Linked DNA regions of Schizosaccharomyces pombe. The gene in region 1 interacts genetically with each later gene. Each region holds a gene or a part of one and is shown on either strand. Other genes may lie near its edges.

Evidence for each region.
Region 2: mutations in pus1 (region 1) and spo20 together harm fitness more than expected from each alone (negative genetic interaction), as found in Schizosaccharomyces pombe (one large-scale study listed by BioGRID).

The regions. Positions count from the first base shown.
Region 1 is NC_003421.2:2,118,862-2,123,453, forward strand, and holds pus1 (tRNA/U2 snRNA pseudouridine synthase Lsp1), read left to right. Parts: upstream 1-1,753; 5' UTR 1,754-1,803; coding exon 1,804-2,880; intron 2,881-2,945; coding exon 2,946-3,301; intron 3,302-3,340; coding exon 3,341-3,512; 3' UTR 3,513-3,769; downstream 3,770-4,592. Other genes in the region: Ku domain protein Pku70 , read right to left, coding at 1-34, 109-205, 277-459, 525-557; SAGA complex deubiquitinating submodule subunit Sgf73, read right to left, coding at 3,890-4,341, 4,413-4,592. UniProt on the Schizosaccharomyces pombe protein: Formation of pseudouridine at positions 27 and 28 in the anticodon stem and loop of transfer RNAs; at positions 34 and 36 of intron-containing precursor tRNA(Ile) and at position 35 in the intron-containing tRNA(Tyr).
Region 2 is NC_003424.3:607,082-611,427, forward strand, and holds spo20 (sec14 cytosolic factor family, phospholipid-intermembrane transfer protein Spo20/Sec14), read left to right. Parts: upstream 1-1,887; 5' UTR 1,888-1,910; coding exon 1,911-2,069; intron 2,070-2,117; coding exon 2,118-2,420; intron 2,421-2,447; exon of another isoform or gene 2,448-2,616; coding exon 2,617-2,739; exon of another isoform or gene 2,740-2,761; intron 2,762-2,802; coding exon 2,803-3,078; 3' UTR 3,079-3,622; downstream 3,623-4,346. Other genes in the region: exosome 3'-5' exoribonuclease subunit Rrp6, read left to right, coding at 3,805-4,071, 4,130-4,346. UniProt on the Schizosaccharomyces pombe protein: Required for transport of secretory proteins from the Golgi complex. Catalyzes the transfer of phosphatidylinositol and phosphatidylcholine between membranes in vitro. Essential for viability and secretion.

The DNA.
Region 1 (4,592 bases):
CATGGTTTGAATTTTTCTTTTGAGAATTGGAAATCTTAAACAATTGAACAAAATTAGTAATCAGTGGGGAAAAAGCATGAAAGAAAGTAATCGGTTAAAAGCTTTTACCTTTTTCAAAGCTTTGTAAGCTTTTAATACGTTCAGCATCAGGAGGATCAATGTCTAAAAGCATCATTTGATTTGCGAATCGGCCCGTAGAGGACTCCTGCGCTGTGGTTAGAGACATTTAATGGCAGAAGTAAACGTCGGTGAATTTAAATGCAGCATTAAACTTACAGTACCATAGAGCAATACACCCATTATGTCGCTGGGATTTGTGATTACTCTTTGAGCCGCCAGCTGGTACGCACAAATAAGTGCCATCTGCAAAGAGCTGGGAGTAAATTCATCGACAGGATCAAGCATACTGGGAGAAACTTCAATCACAAATAAAATGGCATATTTTCCAATTGCAAAATTCTTTAAACAATCGTCAGCATAATAATTTCAAAACACCTGCGTCTACCAGTCCATATTGGTCATACTTCTGTCTCATCTATTTGTTCATCGTTTTCCATGTAAAAAACAGATTATCAAAAACAATTTCCTTGGCTTTTTAAATACGACAAAAAGAAAAAAGAAGCACGCGTAATTATAAAAACGCTGATATTTTATGTAAACCGTCCGATGATAACGGCTAAAGCACACGAATGAAATAACTATTTCATTAGTATCTTAAATGTCAAATAATTTAATATATTGATATACCAATATGAGTTATTAAGCACCAATTCCAATATTTGAGAAAAATAATAAAATGCACAATGGTGTCAACATTCTAGTGGGTGTTTTACACGCACTGTGATTGTTGCGAATACGTTAAATTTAAAGAGCTCAAGTAAAGCCGTCGTAAGTTGCAACTAATATTAGTTCGTTATAGTTCATTTGTGTCGGCTACGCAGTTTGGTATCTGATTTAAAGATACGTAGAACTGCGGTGAGTTTTCCTTGTGATCTATTATATTACAATACACAGGTTGTATAAGTAGCAACTGAGTATAGGTATTGTATTAACTGGGTTATAATGTTACCTATCACTAATATAGCTCATAACTGAACTGAGGAACGAGGTTCAGCAGTAGCTCTATTTATAGTATTCAGATAATATACATATTAATAGATTTTAATTAAGATCAATATCAATATCGTATCATACATGGTACGATATATAATTAGAACATGTGACATATAGTGAAACGCAACGTAATATATCATAGCTTAGTGTAGTATTGCTGACAATTTGCGGTTTTGTTCGTAACGTGTGGAAGAAAAAAATAAAAAATGAGGTTTATGAACGATGAAAAGGACTAGATTTTTGATATAAAATTGATAATAGGTATACTTTTCTTAGTTATTGGAAGGATTAGTCACGGGTTTCAATTTGGCCTTTACTTCGACAACTGGTAACAAAAGATAAAACACAGAGACAGAGAATAAGCAACAATTAATAGTCAGTCTTAAGTCATTCCTTTTTCAGGCTGATTATTTTTTTTTGGTTTGAATGCTTCATCAATCTGTTTTTGCTCGAAATGCGATACAATATTTAGCTTTTTAATTCTTAAAACTTTTAACTTAAGGTAAGCGAAGTATATTGTTTTATAATTGTTTAGTGAACCATCGTGTAATTATACTCTTATCTTATTGAATGAATAACGATTCCTTGCATTTCATTATTAAGAAAATATACTCTACTATGTTTAAATGAATTTTTACCTGTGCAGCGTAAATTGCGTTTTCATCAAAAACAAATAATATTAACTACAGCATGGGACGTGGTGGTAAACGCACTTGGTACAATGGTGATCGTCGAGAAGCGAAAAGGAACCGACCTAATTCTATATACAATGGAGAAGGTCGGCCAGAGAATTTGGTAGTTGGAGAAAAAAAGCCGAAAAGAAAGGTCGCCTGTCTTGTAGGTTATTGTGGTAGCGGATATCATGGTATGCAATTGAATCCTCCTAGTAAAACAATCGAAGGAGATCTTTTTGATGCTTTTGTGAAGGCTGGTGCCGTTTCTTCTTATAACGCTGATGACCCAAAGAAAGTTGCTTTAGCAAGAGCCGCAAGAACTGATAAAGGAGTTCATGCCGCTGGAAATGTTATCAGTCTCAAACTTATAATGGAAGATGAGAAGTTAATTGAAAAAGTGAACGAACACCTCCCTCCTTCCATTCGCTTATGGGATGTGATCCGTACTATTAATTCTTTTAACCCAAGGACTTATTGCGAATCTCGTATATATGAATATATGGTTCCAACGTATGCTTTTGTTCCACCGAAACCTTCGTCCATACTTGGAAATTGCATTATGAAGAATTCTCCCATGCCTGCTGAGCCAATTAACAAGGAAAATATAAATCAACTCAGTCGTTCATTATTTTATGAAGAAGGAAAGGAATTTTGGGATGATTATGATATTGCAGCCAAAGAGATTTTGAGCCTTTATGAACAGGATCCTGAAGGCTTCGTAAATCCATATTCTAAAAGGGGAGCTGCTGCTCTTGCTAATTCGGAAAATAATAAGGGCTCTGAAGCAGGAGTTTCCGCTAAAACTAATCCAGATATGGATTCCGATTCCTCTGCTATTGTAAACGAGTTTTTAAAGCCTGACTCTGTTGAAGACGAATCTGCTGGTTCCAAGATTGATCCCAGTTATCGTCTCGAACGTGCACTTAAGCACATTGAAGTACTTAAATTAAAAAATTACCGTATTTCCGCAGATAGGCTGTCCGTTATTCGAGAAACTTTAAACCAATATGTTGGAGTTCATAACTTTCACAATTTTACTGTGGGGCAAGCATTTCATCAGAAGAATAGTAATCGCGTGATCCGTTCTTTTACTGTAAGTAAGAATTATCTTCTTTGTATTTATAGTATTCTTGACAAGTCTTGTTTCTAACATTCTAGGCATCTGATCCATTCATGATTGGCGATACAGAATGGATTTCATGTAAAGTTCATGGTCAATCTTTTATGTTGCACCAAATTAGAAAGATGATTGCGCTTGCTATTTTAGTTGTACGAACGGGTTGTCCTGTTGAGCGCATACAAGATGCCTTTAAAAAAACAAAAATTAACATACCCAAGGGACCTGGTTTTGGACTTTTATTAGAGTCACCGTTTTTTAAAGGTTATAATGAACATAAAGCTCCAGAGAATAATCGTGATCCTATCGACTTTACAAAGTACGAGCAAAAAATTACTGCTTTTAAGCATGCTCATATTTATGATAAAATTTTTCTCGAAGAAGCTCGTAAACAAGTGTAAGTATATTTTTTTCTTAAATTAACTAACCGGTTTAGATTTCATTGTTTTTTGTCTTTTATTGACAGTTATAATGAAGAAGATTTCAGTTATTTATCAGATATAGGCATTACTGAAAAGACGCAAGAGGTTTCCTCAAAATTGCCTGATGTTCTTTCTAGCGATGAAGAAGAAGATTCGGCTGAAAACAAGGATGATTTAGAGGGCTAAAGGATTGATTGTGAGACTGAGGATTTGCAACAAACTGATACCATAAACTTTGCTGTTTCTTTTAAAAAATTAGACTACAAACGTGTACATATATTTTTGGAGAATACTTGTTTCTTTCTTTTTTTTAGAATTGATTATTGGTTTTGGGTTCTATTGGTATTTTTATAGTTTATTAACTTCTACTTGATTATTCCAAATGTTAAGACCGTATGGTGCAATATACAAAATAAAAAATGAAAAAATTAATGAAATAGAAACTAGATGAACGGAGGAGAAAATTAAAAAGTCGAAAATGCGTGGTCAAGTAGACCAAAATGTAAACTATAATCTCATAAAGAATTTAAATCATCAACCGAAGCAAAATCAAAAGAATTTCTTTATAGTGGTTGGCGGGCACTAAAAGGAATCACTCGTCCCAATATAGTACCAGTAACTTGCATACCCTGCTCACCATGTCGAAATGCAGCAGCTATTAACTCTCTAGTACGAAAATACGAATGGCGACGTTTTACGGGTAAAAAAACTTTTTGCTCCAAAGGCTGATTGCCAGATTTCTGGAGAACATTCATAATGAAACTGACTTCTTCATCAGAATCAACAGGCGCTTGATGCTGATTATCTTCGGATTCTTTTGCAGTTTCGAGGATTTGTCGTTGTATTTTTACTTGGTTTTTCTTTTGACAAGCTGCAAGCAAAACATCGTATGGCTGAGATCTTCCCGGAACGGCTCGTTTGCTTGACATTGAATGCGTTTTACATGTGAGAGATCTGGCGCACATTTGCCCATTAGGAAGCAAAACACCGCATTGCTTTTCAACATCCACAGGACCTTAATTGAATGTTAGTATTAAAGTAAACAGGTACTCCATTCTCCATATTGAACAGCATAAACCAACATACCTTTGACCTTTGGATTCTTCTTCTTGCTAGCCTCTTTCTTGGGAAGGGCGGATTTTGTAGGCTTTTTGTTTTCTTCTGTCTTCCGACGTTTTGGAGGCATTTCAGGATTCTTTTGACCATTAACTGAATTCTTTTCATGATTCCCAGCTGAGCCCTTAGCTGTCGATTTAACACCATTTT
Region 2 (4,346 bases), on another chromosome or scaffold:
GTAAAAATTTCACACTCAACCAAATGTGTAAAGAGTTGGCGATTAAAAGGAAATTTATGCAGATGGTTTTCTTCCAACTACCTTTATTTTTTTTTCTTCTTCACAACTTTATGTCTTAGGTAGAAGATACGGCGGAGTGGTACTAAAATTGCATCCTTTAAATAGATGAAAAATTAAGTTGCCACTCAAATGAATGGAACTTCGGGCTTTTCAAAACCACCGCCAGGGAAATGACATGAAAACAATTTTACTATCCCGAAATTTTCTTTTTTTCAGCTTCTGCACTGATAGCATAATCGTTTCCAAAACAAACTGTAAACTAAATTTTCATAAAAGCAGTAAATTTTCAAACTTGGAGATATCGGGGTAGGGTTACCGTTATTGCAGTTCAAATAACCATTGCTATTATTTAATATGTATAAAAAAACCATGTAGTAATAGACTCGTGTGCAAAGTACACTTCAGCTGGGTTTGAGGTGCAAGGTTGCCAATTAAGAAACGTAGTACTGATTCTTTTCACCTCTACCATACTTATTCAATGTTAAATGCTTATAACATTGATATCCACGGTTTTCATCCTATATTCAAACTATGCTTCCTGCCTTTAGTAACAAGCTTGCGTAATGCATTGTTTCCTGCATTTATTCGTTTGTTAAATTATAACGATATTTTGACGATTATACTATCCTTCCGTAACGTTAATATAATAATCAAAAATTTATATTGTTATAGGTCTTTAAAGGTAAAATCAATGTAAATAAATGTATTATTGCTAACATGTAGAAAATTTGATACTAACTTGAAAATTTTATGCAAGTACAAAATGGACTGTCCATTCAAGCAATGCCTTTCACTCTTGTATGTTTTGTTAAACTTTGCGTGGAAGAAACGCTTTCAAAATTATGGCTGAAGTTCGATCGAAAGAGAAGGAAACAATAATTACGTTTGCGAGACAAAACTAGTTTTTAAAAAAATTTTGTATATATATTTAAGTGGCTGTTAGTCTAATTATTATTTATTTTATTCATTCTTTAGATTTTATTTTATTTTATTTTTTATGTCGTATAGTATTACTTTATTTACGTTTCAATATGTATTTTTTGTTAAATTGCTTATTCACGAAATATTTTTCCATTTGCAATAAAATTTCTTTTCCTTTACTATATTTGCTTATTTAAAGTTCTTTTTTAATCACAACTCTATGACAATTTTCTACTCCTCATTTATAATACGAAAACTGAACAATCATAAAATTGAACTGTTTTACTTCACATAAATATCCAGCTACGATACTCCTATACCGTTTTTACATAGACAACAATCTCAAAATCGCAATATGATCATCCATTTACATATTCTATACTCTATGTACTATAACGCTTCTTAGTGCCTGGTTTACTCTTTCAAAGCTGTCAGGTGCATAAATATTGATGACAGAAAATCACCACAAGCGCACTCAAAGGCTTAAATAAAATAAACATTATCTATCGTTCGTTTTTTTTGGTAAAGAAAAAATGCTTCCACAAAGTTAAATTGTCACTTTTTCCCCATGTTTTATTTACCTTCAACGCCTCGTTGAAGGCCATTCTGCATCTCAAATTTGTCGCACTTTTCATGCAAGTTGAAAAATTGGTTATACACAATTTAAACCTCATACGAGGAGCTTCTTCCTCTCATCTGATTTTTAACACTGAAGTTTATCCTCATACTCACATATAACAATAGCGTTGGGTGTAGCATGGCAACAAAGGTTCCTGCGGTAGTAGGTAAAAGGCCCCCACGCTTGACTGATCCCCCACGGCTGATGACCACTAGTATTAAGGTCGCTGACGTTCTTCCTTTTCCTTTATACATCTTGTACAGACTGGGTCATTAGGTCTTCTCTCTACAACCATCGTCTAAACAAAAAGATGTCAGAAACTATATCGGATCCTTATCCTCTAACTAATCCAAATGCTCCATTAGGGCACCCAGGGCATTTGAATTCTACACAGCAAGCTACGCTAGATAGCATGCGTTTAGAGTTACAAAAACTTGGATACACGGAAAGATTAGACGATGCCACTTTAGTAAGTTGTACAGCAGGAAACTTTGTGTTTGTACTAATGGATTCTTAGTTGCGTTTTTTGAGAGCCCGTAAATTTAATTTGCAACAGTCGCTGGAAATGTTTATTAAATGCGAAAAGTGGAGAAAAGAATTTGGTGTTGATGATCTTATCAAAAACTTTCATTATGATGAGAAAGAAGCCGTTTCCAAATATTACCCTCAATTTTATCATAAAACTGACATCGACGGCCGTCCGGTATACGTTGAGCAACTCGGTAACATTGATTTGAAGAAGTTGTACCAAATCACGACTCCCGAGCGTATGATGCAAAATTTGGTTTATGAATATGAAATGCTTGCTTTAAAACGGTTTGTAAGTAAATTCAAATGATTAAATGTATCTCCAGTAATTCTCATAATCAAACCTTTCCTTTGGATTTGCATATTCCATATAAGGCTGGTTTTTCGGCTTTTTAATAGAAAAACTTTTGGTTTTCTACTGTGTTGAATTTTTTGTGATATATTTTTTCATTTTGATATTTCTTTTCATCTTTATTAACCGTCTTCAGCCCGCTTGTTCTCGTAAAGCAGGAGGCTTGATTGAAACTTCGTGCACAATCATGGATCTAAAGGGTGTTGGTATTACTAGTATTCACTCGGTTTACAGCTACATTCGTCAAGCATCAAGCATTGTAAGTTGAAAATGTTGAAATTTTTGTTCTTTTTTTTTTTTTTCAAGTATTAACACGTTAAAGAGTCAAGATTATTACCCCGAAAGGATGGGCAAGTTTTATGTAATTAACGCTCCTTGGGGATTCTCTTCTGCCTTTAATCTTATCAAAGGTTTTTTGGATGAGGCAACTGTCAAAAAAATTCATATTTTAGGCTCAAACTATAAGAGTGCTCTGCTCGAACAAATCCCTGCTGATAATCTTCCTGCTAAACTCGGTGGAAACTGCCAATGTCCAGGTGGCTGCGAACTATCTGACGCCGGTCCATGGCATGAAGAACAGTGGATGAACAAAAATTAGACTTCTTTCTCCGAACGGGATTTAATTGCTAGAATAGATGAATGTGGTTTGTCCTTTGATAAGAGTAATAGTGTGTAGAGTTTTTGCCGATCTTTCAACTTTGTTCTGCGTTTTAGTTCTTAAAGGTCTTCGTTCTATTTTTACTCAGCATCTCAGGTACTTCCTTCTACTTACGGTTTACTATTCGACGAAATTATCGTATATAGATCGAAGCATATATAAATATTTTATTTCGAAAGTCATGTGTTGATCCATCATCAACATCATGGGATGGTTGCTGTTACAATTCTTAATCCTTATAGAAGGTCTCAATACATATATCGTTCATTAATTTTCCAAAAAAGGACGCTCGATGATCCAACTGATTTGATTGTTTCATCCATTCTAGATTATCCGAAGTTTTTAAATTTGTAATTCATCTACTTTGATTATTTTTTTACTTTTTGATCAAAATTGAATGCCTATATTATAAAAGACCTCTCTATAGTTGCCTGCTAATAGTTTCACAATTTTGAACTAATCATAAATAATTGCTTTTACATAATTCTGCTAAGATTTTGCATTTGTGTAAAATATTTTATATATATAAAAATAGCTCTTGTATTTCGTACTTTAACGATGTCTATATTCAAGTTCGGTAATTCGTTGAGCGTGTGGTAAAAGTGCTTGAAAATTCCTGAACCAAACCAAAAACCTTACTGATCCAGTAGGGTAAACAATAGCATAATGGATGAGTCAGAATTGTTTAAGGGTTTAATGAATAGTACAGCCTATTGCTCTGAATTGGCAAAGGTTGATATACCGTTTTATAAATCAATTGATACCGAATTCAATGAAAACATAAAAAGTGTTTCTTCTCGTTTTATGAGATTAATTGAATTGCTTCTTTCTAAAGTAGACAGAAGTCGGGCGGAGGATATTGTGGACGTTGAAGATATAGATAATAGATGGGCAGAAGTATCGGACACATTAGACATACTCTTTGAAAAAGCTGTAAGTGAATTTTTGAAATTGTAAACGGATTTTATTTAACTAAGACGTATGAATATAGGACTATTCTATCGATAAAGCTCAAGGACTTTTAAAAAAGCCAGCGATCGAAACCCATGCGTCGACAAGCGATGTTGCCAATAAAAAACCAAAGAAAGAAAAGTTGCCCTACAAGGTTATTCACGCAGCTCATCTTACTAAGCCTCAATTAAGGTTTCGAGTACAGCCTAATAATTCCAGGGAGTTTGTGTGGTCTTGGAAGTTAACTGAAAAACCAC